Rattus norvegicus: one gene and its partner. Each later gene encodes a partner of the first gene's protein in a complex. Links are inferred from orthologs where the notes say so. Each region holds a gene or a part of one and is shown in the gene's direction. Other genes may lie near its edges.

Region 1 (4,490 bases):
ATAGCAAGTTCCAGGATGGCCAGGACTACACCGTGAGACCCTGGCGCAAACAGCAAACAAACAAACAAAAAGATACCATGTATTCAAGATACCGTGAATAAAAATAAATTATGACATAACCACTCATTTTAAGAAGAATCTCACCCACCCGTCAAGAAAAAAAAAAAAAAAAAAACATAACTGGAGGCGCTGGCACTGGCTAGCATGCTGCAGAAGCCATTTCTTCTCAAAGCATATTCCTACCTATTCTCTATTGGCTGACAGCCTGGCAGAACCAATTTTATATCAGAGAAAGCAGTCCCAACATTCTGTCCTTTTTTTGTTTTCCTGAACAGAAAAATAAAATCGAGGGGGTGGGCTAGGAAAGTGGAACTAGAGACACTGGCAACGTGATATCCAAAATAAACTAAGTTGAAACAGTACGTTCCACCTTCTTCCCAAAGCCATTTCCTTCAATAGCAACAGGGAGCGCAGTCTGCAAGTCATTGGTACACTGCTATTTTCACTTTCACAAGAGCCCAAAAACCAGTGAAGAGCAAAATCTCCCTCTTCCCTGATACCTTCCAAACCTTCTCTTTCTGTACTTCAACAAAACCTACTAAGGAGTCCTCAGCATTTTGTCTCACTGAGGATGCAGAAGGGGGAGGATCTGGTTGAGAAGTGGGAGGAAAAATAAGACTAGGTGAGACGCAAAAACGGAAAGAGTACAGGGGGATAGGTCATCACGAAAAGAAGACAAGGAAGAGGACTGCAAGCAAATTAGGCGCAGTTTTGGCTGTGAATTCACCGAGGAAGACAAAAAGATGGGGGTGGTATTAAAGAGCGGAAGCGAAATGAGGGGCAGACTGGAGACGCCGCGGAAATGTGGGCTAGGCAGGACGCTGGCCCTGATGCCTAGGGTTTGCTGCCAGTACCCAAGACAGCAGGCAGCAGGTACCGAGGACACCGGTGTCAAGGGAATCACGGGTGTGCGGGCAGCTTAAGACCCGGTTTCCAGCCTTAGGGGCCAGGGACCTACGCGGCGCCCGAGCGCGGGACACACGGGGCTCTTACCGGTAGTTTGGGATTGACCTCGCCCTTACAAAAGTGGCAGAAGAAACGGTGCGCGGCGACAGCGGAGCCCGCGTCCGCCCCCGCCGCCGAGGCCTCCGCCATTTTTCGCCTCTGCGGAGGATGTCCGAAAGGGCGGCCGGCGGTCCCTCCCCAGGCCGCTACCTCCTGGGCTGCGGTCGCCGCCGCCGCCGCCGCCGTCGCCGCCTCCTCTGGGCGGCCCGCCGCTCCAAGGCCCGCAAGGGTCACGTGAGTCCGCCCGGCCCCGAGAGGCCCGCCCGCCAGCGGCCGCGCGACCCGAGGCCCGCCTCCCGGCACCAAAGGCAGAGAGCCCGCCCGCCGGCACCTCAGACAGCCTCTGGCCGGTCCTCCAGCCTTCCAACGAGAGGAAAGAAAGAGCGTCTCCGGAAACCACCGACACGGTCGGCTAGAGCGGTCTGTGCTCTGACCCTTCCGCATCCGCCTGGATGGTGCGCTACTTCTAAGAAGGGGCTATGGGCTGCTCCTGATCTTAGGCTACTGTCCTCGGGAGGATAACTTTTGGAGCTTCTAAATTAGCACTGACCCTGAGGTTAGTGAAAAAGCTGCCGGAATGAGGAGGCCCTGACTCAGGGCTAAGAAACAAAGTCCGGAACAGAAACTTCCATGAAGGCAAGAGGAGCCAGGCGCCTTGGAAATGTTTTCAAGGATGGCAACTGGTCTAAGGATGTTTCTCCAAAGACGTGTGGATAAGTGAAATAGTCTTCTGTGCGACCCTGTGGCAAGAGGGAAAAAAATTTAGGTTCTGAAGAGTTGAAGAAAGAGATGAATAATGGCAGGTAGCAGCTTGTGATATAGGGAGGTAATTTATAAATCAATACTTCCATTTCTGCTTGTGTCCCATTCGTCAGGATGTAAAATGGAGCATAACTTCTTCTCCTAATTAAAATACCCTGTTGAGAAGCTCATTTTTACTTTCTCTTTCTAAATCATGGTTTATGGCTTGGGAATGATACTTTGTACCCCCACTGAGTCATGAACCTTAGTTCTTTGTTTCTGTGACAGATTGCGAAGTCATTTACACTCCCCCTCCCCCTTTACTTTTAGAGGTCTCACTCTGGACCAGGTTTGCTTGGTATTTATTATGTAGCCCAGACTGGTCTTGAGTTTATGGCAATCTTCTAGCTTTAGTGCTGGGATTACAGATGTTAGCCACCACACCCAGATGAATCCAGTCTTTAAAGATTATTGGAATCACATATACTCCCGTTTAAATAAATGGTATATGTATAGAGGAGGATAATATATATGTGTGTGTGTGTGTGTGTGTGTGTGTGTGTATGGATATATGGATATATATATTGAGACAGGATCTCATGTAGCCAGGCTGGTTTTGAACTCAATAATATGTAACCTTGAACTCCTGACCCTCCTACTTCCACCTCCTAAGTGCTGGAACTATAGGCATGCACCACCATACCTGGCTTTAGAAAAAAAATTGATGTCTGGTTTTCCAGTCCTTTGTTTTGGTGGGAGGGTGTCTCATCCACCAGAGTCTTGCTATATAACATAGGCTGGCTTTGAACTTACTTTGTGCCCCAGGTTGTCCTGGAACTATTGATTCTTTGGTTTTGGCTTCCTGCGTGCTAGAATTACAGGCAGTGTACACCGTCATATCTGACCATTCCAATTACTAAATAACAACACATTAGGATATCTTATGGTAGTTATATTGTACAAAGTCATTTTAAATGTTGGCATTGTGTACTCATTTAAGGTTATACTATAATTTATTGATAGATGCTAGATTGTTTTAGTTTGTCAATGCCAGTATTGTGAAGAGAACTCATGGCATGATTTTTACTATATCCTTGGAACAGAGGATCCTCACTTATAAGTATTACGATAAATATGCCTTAATATAAAAGTTTTGATGTATATTGCCGTTACCCTCTAGAAAAAAAATATGTGAATTTATATTGTTGTTCTTTCCTAGTTCTAAGGCTCCAAGTGCAATGACTCAAGCAGAAATTAAACTGTGCTCTTTGTTGCTACAAGAGCATTTTGGTGAGATTGTAGAAAAAATTGGAGTCCACCTAATCAGAACTGGGAGCCAGCCACTTAGAGTAATTGCCCATGACACAAAAGCATCACTGGACCAGGTATGTTTAGATAAGAGAGTTTGCTCTCTTGAACTTCTTCAATTCATTTCCTTCAAGCACCTTTGAACTGTAGTGCTCCTTTACTTAGGCAGTATAAACAGAGAAAGCCTGCCCTCTGGTCAAAAGCACTGTGGGTGGGGTGGGGGTGTGGTATTGTACTTAGGCCCCAGTGTACTGCTGTTCATGGTGTCCCTAGCTCATCTTTGCTGTTCCCATGCCATGCTCATTTATTTACAGTAAGTCTGCAGATCGAGTACTGCCTTTAAGGAATAGAAAAGATAGAAACAGTAAACTGTGAGGTGAAAGGTTTCTGTCGCCATCCTAGTCAAGGATGGAGCTCGGTTGGCACAGTGACTACATTGTATTGACAATTTGGGGATTGTGGTTTCCTTAAAAACACAGAACTAGGGCTGGAGAGCTGACTCAGAGGTTAAGAGCACTGACTGCTCTTCCAGAGGTCCTGAGTTCAATTCCCAGCAACAACATGGTAGCTCATAACCATCTATAATGGGATCTGGTGCCCTCTTCTGGTCTGCAGGCAGAATGCTGTTTACATAATAAATATATCTTTAAAACAAAACACAGGGGTTGGAGATTTAGCTCATTGGTAGAACGCTTGCCTAGGAAGCGCAAAGCCCTGGGTTCGGTCCCCACCCCCAAAAAAAGAACCAAAAAAAAAAAAACACACACACACACAGAAATATCTAAGAATACTTTTTTTTGTTTTAGTCCCAGGTGTGTGGATATGGGGCTGCTTCGGACTGTCGCAGCAGCCTTACCTTGTGTTCTAGCAGAGGCATGGTTTTGCCAGCTATTGATAGTCTCTGTCACTGTGCAATGTCTGGGATTCTGGGAACTTTTCAGAGGATAATAAATGCTAGCCCCCGATAGGTGGGGTCAGTGGTTGTTAGTCAGGGAAATTGTGGTTTACTAATTGTGTGGTCAAAGAAGAGATGAAAGAAATTAAATTCAGGGGGTTCCCTAATTCCTCCTTGTTTCTCTCTTATGTAGTGTTAGGGGTGAAACTGGGATGGGGATGGGAGTGGGTGGGAAAAAGAAGAACCCACAAAGTAGTAGAGGCCAGCTACACCGCATAGCATGTAGGATGTCCTGGCTTGAGCTCCAACACTAACATAGAACTGGGCATGGTGATTTATGTTCATGATCCCAGCACTTGAGAGAGGGGCTCAGAAGTTCAAGGTCACCTCAGCTATATAACAAATATCAGGCCACCCTGGGCTCCATGAGACCCTGATTCAGAAACAGAAAGCTAGAAGATGGATTGGGCATGATAAGAAC
Region 2 (4,376 bases), about 170 Mb from region 1:
CCCCAGGCACAGATGTAGCAGACCTGCAGCTCAGTCTCCACAGCTGCCTTGTCTGGCCTCAGTGAGACAGGATGCACCTAATCTGGCAGAGACTTGATGTGCTGGGGGTGGGGGAAGGGATACCCAGGGGGCCTCCACCCTCCCAGAAGGGGAGACGGGATGAGGGAGTCTCTGTGAGGGAGGGAGCAGGAGGGGGGAGTAGCTTTTGGGATGTAAATAAATAAATCCTAAGGCAAAAAATATAAAATTGATATACCAAGTATTGCTGTTGTCGCTAACCAGTTCAATTAGTGCAGTCCTGCATGGGGAGAAGGGGATTGGGACCCTACTCTATCTTGCTCCATTTTATCAATTTCTTAGGACCAAGAGAATGAAGTCTGCATTAATTAATGCACACACTTTATCCATGGGAAACAACTCCCTTATTGATCGTTCTTAGGCCTCGCTCTCATCCAGACCAGATAGCTGTCATAATTCTACGTTCATGTCCACCATCAAGCCTTTTTTCTTTTTGAGAGGCAATAAGCAAACAAATCCATCTGAAAGGTAAGGATGGACGAAAGCTCTCTAAGTCTACAGGTGAGACTGAGGCACTCTGCGGTGAGCAGTGCGCAGGCAGCAGAAGTCAGCAGTTTTCAGAGCACAGAGCCTAACACTCTCCACAAGGTGCCATATCTTAAAAGCCTACTCGTTACAAAAGCTGGAAATGTTCAACTGGTACTTGGGAAAAGAATGGAATATCTCCAGTCACAAGTCTCTGCAGTGTAACTACCGTAGCCGACTGACTGGGGATGGTGTGAGCTTTCAAATAAACAGCCACACAGTAGCAGCGCGCATCTCCTGGCAGAGAAGACTGAGTGGGCCTAGGCTCTGCCCAAGCTGGCTTTCACGCAGCAAAGGGTGAGTCAGAGTATTCCCGCACGGTAGCCCAACAGTGCCACGGAGGTCTGCAACAAGCTGTACACGCTCGCCAAGCCCCTCCCTCAGAGACAGCGCGCGCCCCCGGGACCTATTACCATCCTGCAGAATGAGGGTGGGTTGCACTGCCTGCACTCGGAATTGCCTGGCCCTCCAGCCAGGGCTGGGCGCCCGCACCACCTCGCTGTCAGAGAGCCAGGTCACGGTCTCAAAGTTGTCCCCGCGAGCCAGGGCCTCGGCTTCGGCGCGGTGCACAGCCACCTGGTCGAACTGATAGAGCCCGCCGGAGTGATCAAAGTGCACGTGGGTGGCCACGGCCAGCAGCGGCCGACGTCCTGCATCCTCTTTGGCACCACAATCCTGCAAGAGGCCGGAGGAGTAGAGGTACTCCGGGAGGCTGCGTAGCCCCAGGCCCGTGTCGATCACCACGTCCTGCTCCGAGCCGCGCACCAGCCAGATGTTGGCCCGGTTGCCTGACTCGTAGAACCGTTCTTGAATCCAGAAGATGCCATCGCCCAGAGACTTGTGGGCATACCACTCGAGTGCCGACATGCCGATGCGCAGGGGTGCGGCCGGGCAAGGTGGGTGTGCCTCCCACAGGCAGTCCAGGACTCGCCGCTGCTGCAGTGAGCGAAGAGCTACTCTCAGCTCCGGAGGAGGCGCGATCGAGGGGCGGGGATGCGGAAGGGAGCGCGGATAGGACGCAGCGACACTGCCCAGATCGCCTGTTCCTCGCCCTCCCGTCCAAGCCGCAGAGCGCAAAGACTGCACCCCAGCTGCCGCAGCTTCTGCAGCTGCAGCACCAAGGCGGTGACACAGGCCGCTGAAGCGGGGCGGAGACACCGGGCAATGCTGCCCTGCTCGGGGTTCCGACTGCAGAGGCCTGGAGGGATGCGTGGGAAGAGACAGGACCGCCCCCACACGGGCCGCGGGCGCTGCGCACTCGTAGCGGGAGGCCAGAGTGAGGCCGAGCCAGTTGGAGGTTGACTACGGCGCCTGCCAAGGGCTAAAAAGCTCCTTTCCGGGGGTGTGGCCTCGTAGAGTGGGCGGGGCTTCCAGTGCGCTACCCTGAGCCGGAGCCGCGTGCGGTGAGGTTCTCGCTGTTCCGGAGGTGGAATCTGCTGCTCCTTGCTGGCGCGACTGCCAGCTTTCCTGCCACCATCGCTGCACAGTGTGCCCAAGCCTCGAGACTTGGTGAGAAGGTAACTGGAAACTATCCCGGACTGGGCTGGAGGTGAAGAGGGTAGAAGGGAGTTGATGGGGCACGTGGAGAACGTGGTGGTCCGATAATCTGGAGCCAAAATTCATCAAAGCCCCTCTGGAGTGACTTTGGGCTGTACCCCTACCTCCCAAAGCCTGCTGCTGCCGGCTTCCAAACCTTTAAAAGTTTTGGTAGCCAGATCTTCCAGCCTCACGCTGGAAGTTTATCCTTTTACAAGAGAAGACTTTGCAAATCCGGGGACTGTGGTTTTTGTTCATGTAAAGTTTGGCGGCAGTTTGGCTAATAAGGGCATACTTATCATCGCTTCTTTTTTCTTAACTGTTGGCACCTTTGATAGTGGGGAGAGGGGCTGGTGATAGAATTTTTCTTTAAGGAGATCCTAAATGCCCGTCATAGTTCTGGGTGTTTCCTTGCTCTTTGAAGAGAGCAGAAAAGGTTAGAGCTTAAGGCAAGGCAGAGATCACTTTGAGGGGACAGGGAAAGTGGATAATCACTGGGTGTGGCCTTGCAAGCAACCGAAATCACCCCCACTGTCAGTATCAAGTCCCTGTGCTTGCACCCCAACCATTAGCTACCGATGCATCTCTTTCAGATTCAGAAATTCCCTTGAGAATTTGACTAACCTTCAGAAATTATAAAGAGACCCACGGGGACAGCATTATCAAAGATAATTAGCAAAATCCTTCCTGTGGCACATAAGTCTTTCCTGGAGGGAGAGATGCATTCTTCCTACACTCCCAAACTCTCCAGTGGGTGTGGGAGCAGGTCGCTGCTCTTTTGAGTATTTTGCTAATCTCATCTATTATTCAATTATGCAATTGGGACCATTCTTAGCACTAGTGCCTGAACTAAATGATGTGTGACAAGCAGAAAACTGTTTAAAGAAAAGTCTGATTTGAGTTCTCAAGAATCTGAGGAAGCTGACACTTGTACACAAATACTTGTTAACTAATGCATCATGAATGCAAAAATTGGGTTCTGCCTAAGAAGGTGTTCTCCACAGAGAAACACAGTGCCCTCTTTACTTTATGCTTCTGCGGCAGAAGGGAGGCACTCGGTAAGATGGCACAGTGTTGTTCTGTGGTCATGAGCTCAGAAATAATTCAGTGATGATTATCCAGCTTGTGCCTAGCTCTAGAGGCCTTTGGACCTACAGTTTCTGATGACTCTTTTATTCTTTTCAATATGACTCTGTTTCTCATCTTAATTAAATTTATGCTCAGATAGTCCCAAATGACTAGTTTATCTGGCCTGGTTCCTGCTTCACTTTCACACCATCTGTCAGGCTCTGACAGGTTCTCCTGTCCGTGAACTCCATAAGCGCAGAGACATTATTTTGTTCACCTCTCTATTTCCAGCAGAGAGGATGGTTTGACCCAGAGGTAGGGTTAGGGTTAGGGCTTCATAAAGACGCCAGTGGATGGTCAAAGACTCTCCCTGGGGAGGCAGAAAACCAACAGTCAGTTACTTGGTGAGAAGCAGAAGTTAAATGTCCTGAGCTTTGTTAAACTGAAGAGAACAGTATATCGGAAGTGTAAAGATTTGCCTTCTATTAAATTGACAAGAGTTTGGTTGAGAATGATAGGAATCTGGACATAAAATGTCTAGCATGTTTCAAAGGGTCAGATGAGCAATGCTAAGGCCTGAGCTAATGCAGAAGAAAGGAGAAGACTAGGGAACACACAGCTAATGGTCATTCTTCAGAGAGATACTGTGACCTGGCTTTTGCTGTCTCCCCTGACCTCCAGCTAGTTGAACATTTACTCATCTCCTTAAATGTGTAAGGTTGTGTGTACACGAGGATGATACATTTAAGTCACAATCATAACTCATGACATTTTAGATCTAGGAAGAATTGTAGAGATGAACTCACCATTTTCCAGGTGGTTGTGTTTGGAGATGGTTAGGATAGACTTTGGTCTCTTGAATAACGCCCATTTTTAAATCTCTTGGAACAGATTCCAAATGGGAATTTTGAGGCAGCGTTCTGAGCTGGAAGGGGCAGTGCGAACTTGTCCATGTTGCATTTTAAATTTCAGATTTGGGGGCTGGAAAGATGGCTTAGCAACAAAGAGCTCATGTTACTCTTGTAGGGGATCAGAGTTCAGTTCCTAACAACCACACCAAGTGGCTCACAAGCACCGTTGACCTTAGATCCAGGAGATCTGACATCCTCTTCTAACCTCCACGGGCACCTGCATTACTCTGCACACACCCATACACAGTTTAAGATTTT

The links.
Region 2: Polr3c (region 1) and Polr3g share a complex: the UniProt entries of both Homo sapiens proteins name them as parts of the RNA polymerase III complex. The link is inferred for Rattus norvegicus from reciprocal best matches to the Homo sapiens genes POLR3C and POLR3G.

What each region holds. Positions count from the first base shown.
Region 1 is NC_086020.1:186,947,978-186,952,467, reverse strand, and holds the start of Polr3c (DNA-directed RNA polymerase III subunit RPC3), read left to right. Parts: upstream 1-1,509; 5' UTR 1,510-1,621; exon of another isoform or gene 1,622-1,854; coding exon of another isoform or gene 1,855-1,868; exon of another isoform or gene 1,869-1,891; intron 1,892-3,025; coding exon of another isoform or gene 3,026-3,044; coding exon 3,045-3,191; intron 3,192-4,490. Other genes in the region: E3 ubiquitin-protein ligase RNF115, read right to left, coding at 1,054-1,509. UniProt on the Homo sapiens protein: DNA-dependent RNA polymerase catalyzes the transcription of DNA into RNA using the four ribonucleoside triphosphates as substrates.
Region 2 is NC_086020.1:13,718,882-13,723,257, reverse strand, and holds the start of Polr3g (DNA-directed RNA polymerase III subunit RPC7), read left to right. Parts: upstream 1-1,470; 5' UTR 1,471-2,120; intron 2,121-4,376. Other genes in the region: acyl-coenzyme A thioesterase MBLAC2, read right to left, coding at 1,017-1,470. UniProt on the Homo sapiens protein: DNA-dependent RNA polymerase catalyzes the transcription of DNA into RNA using the four ribonucleoside triphosphates as substrates.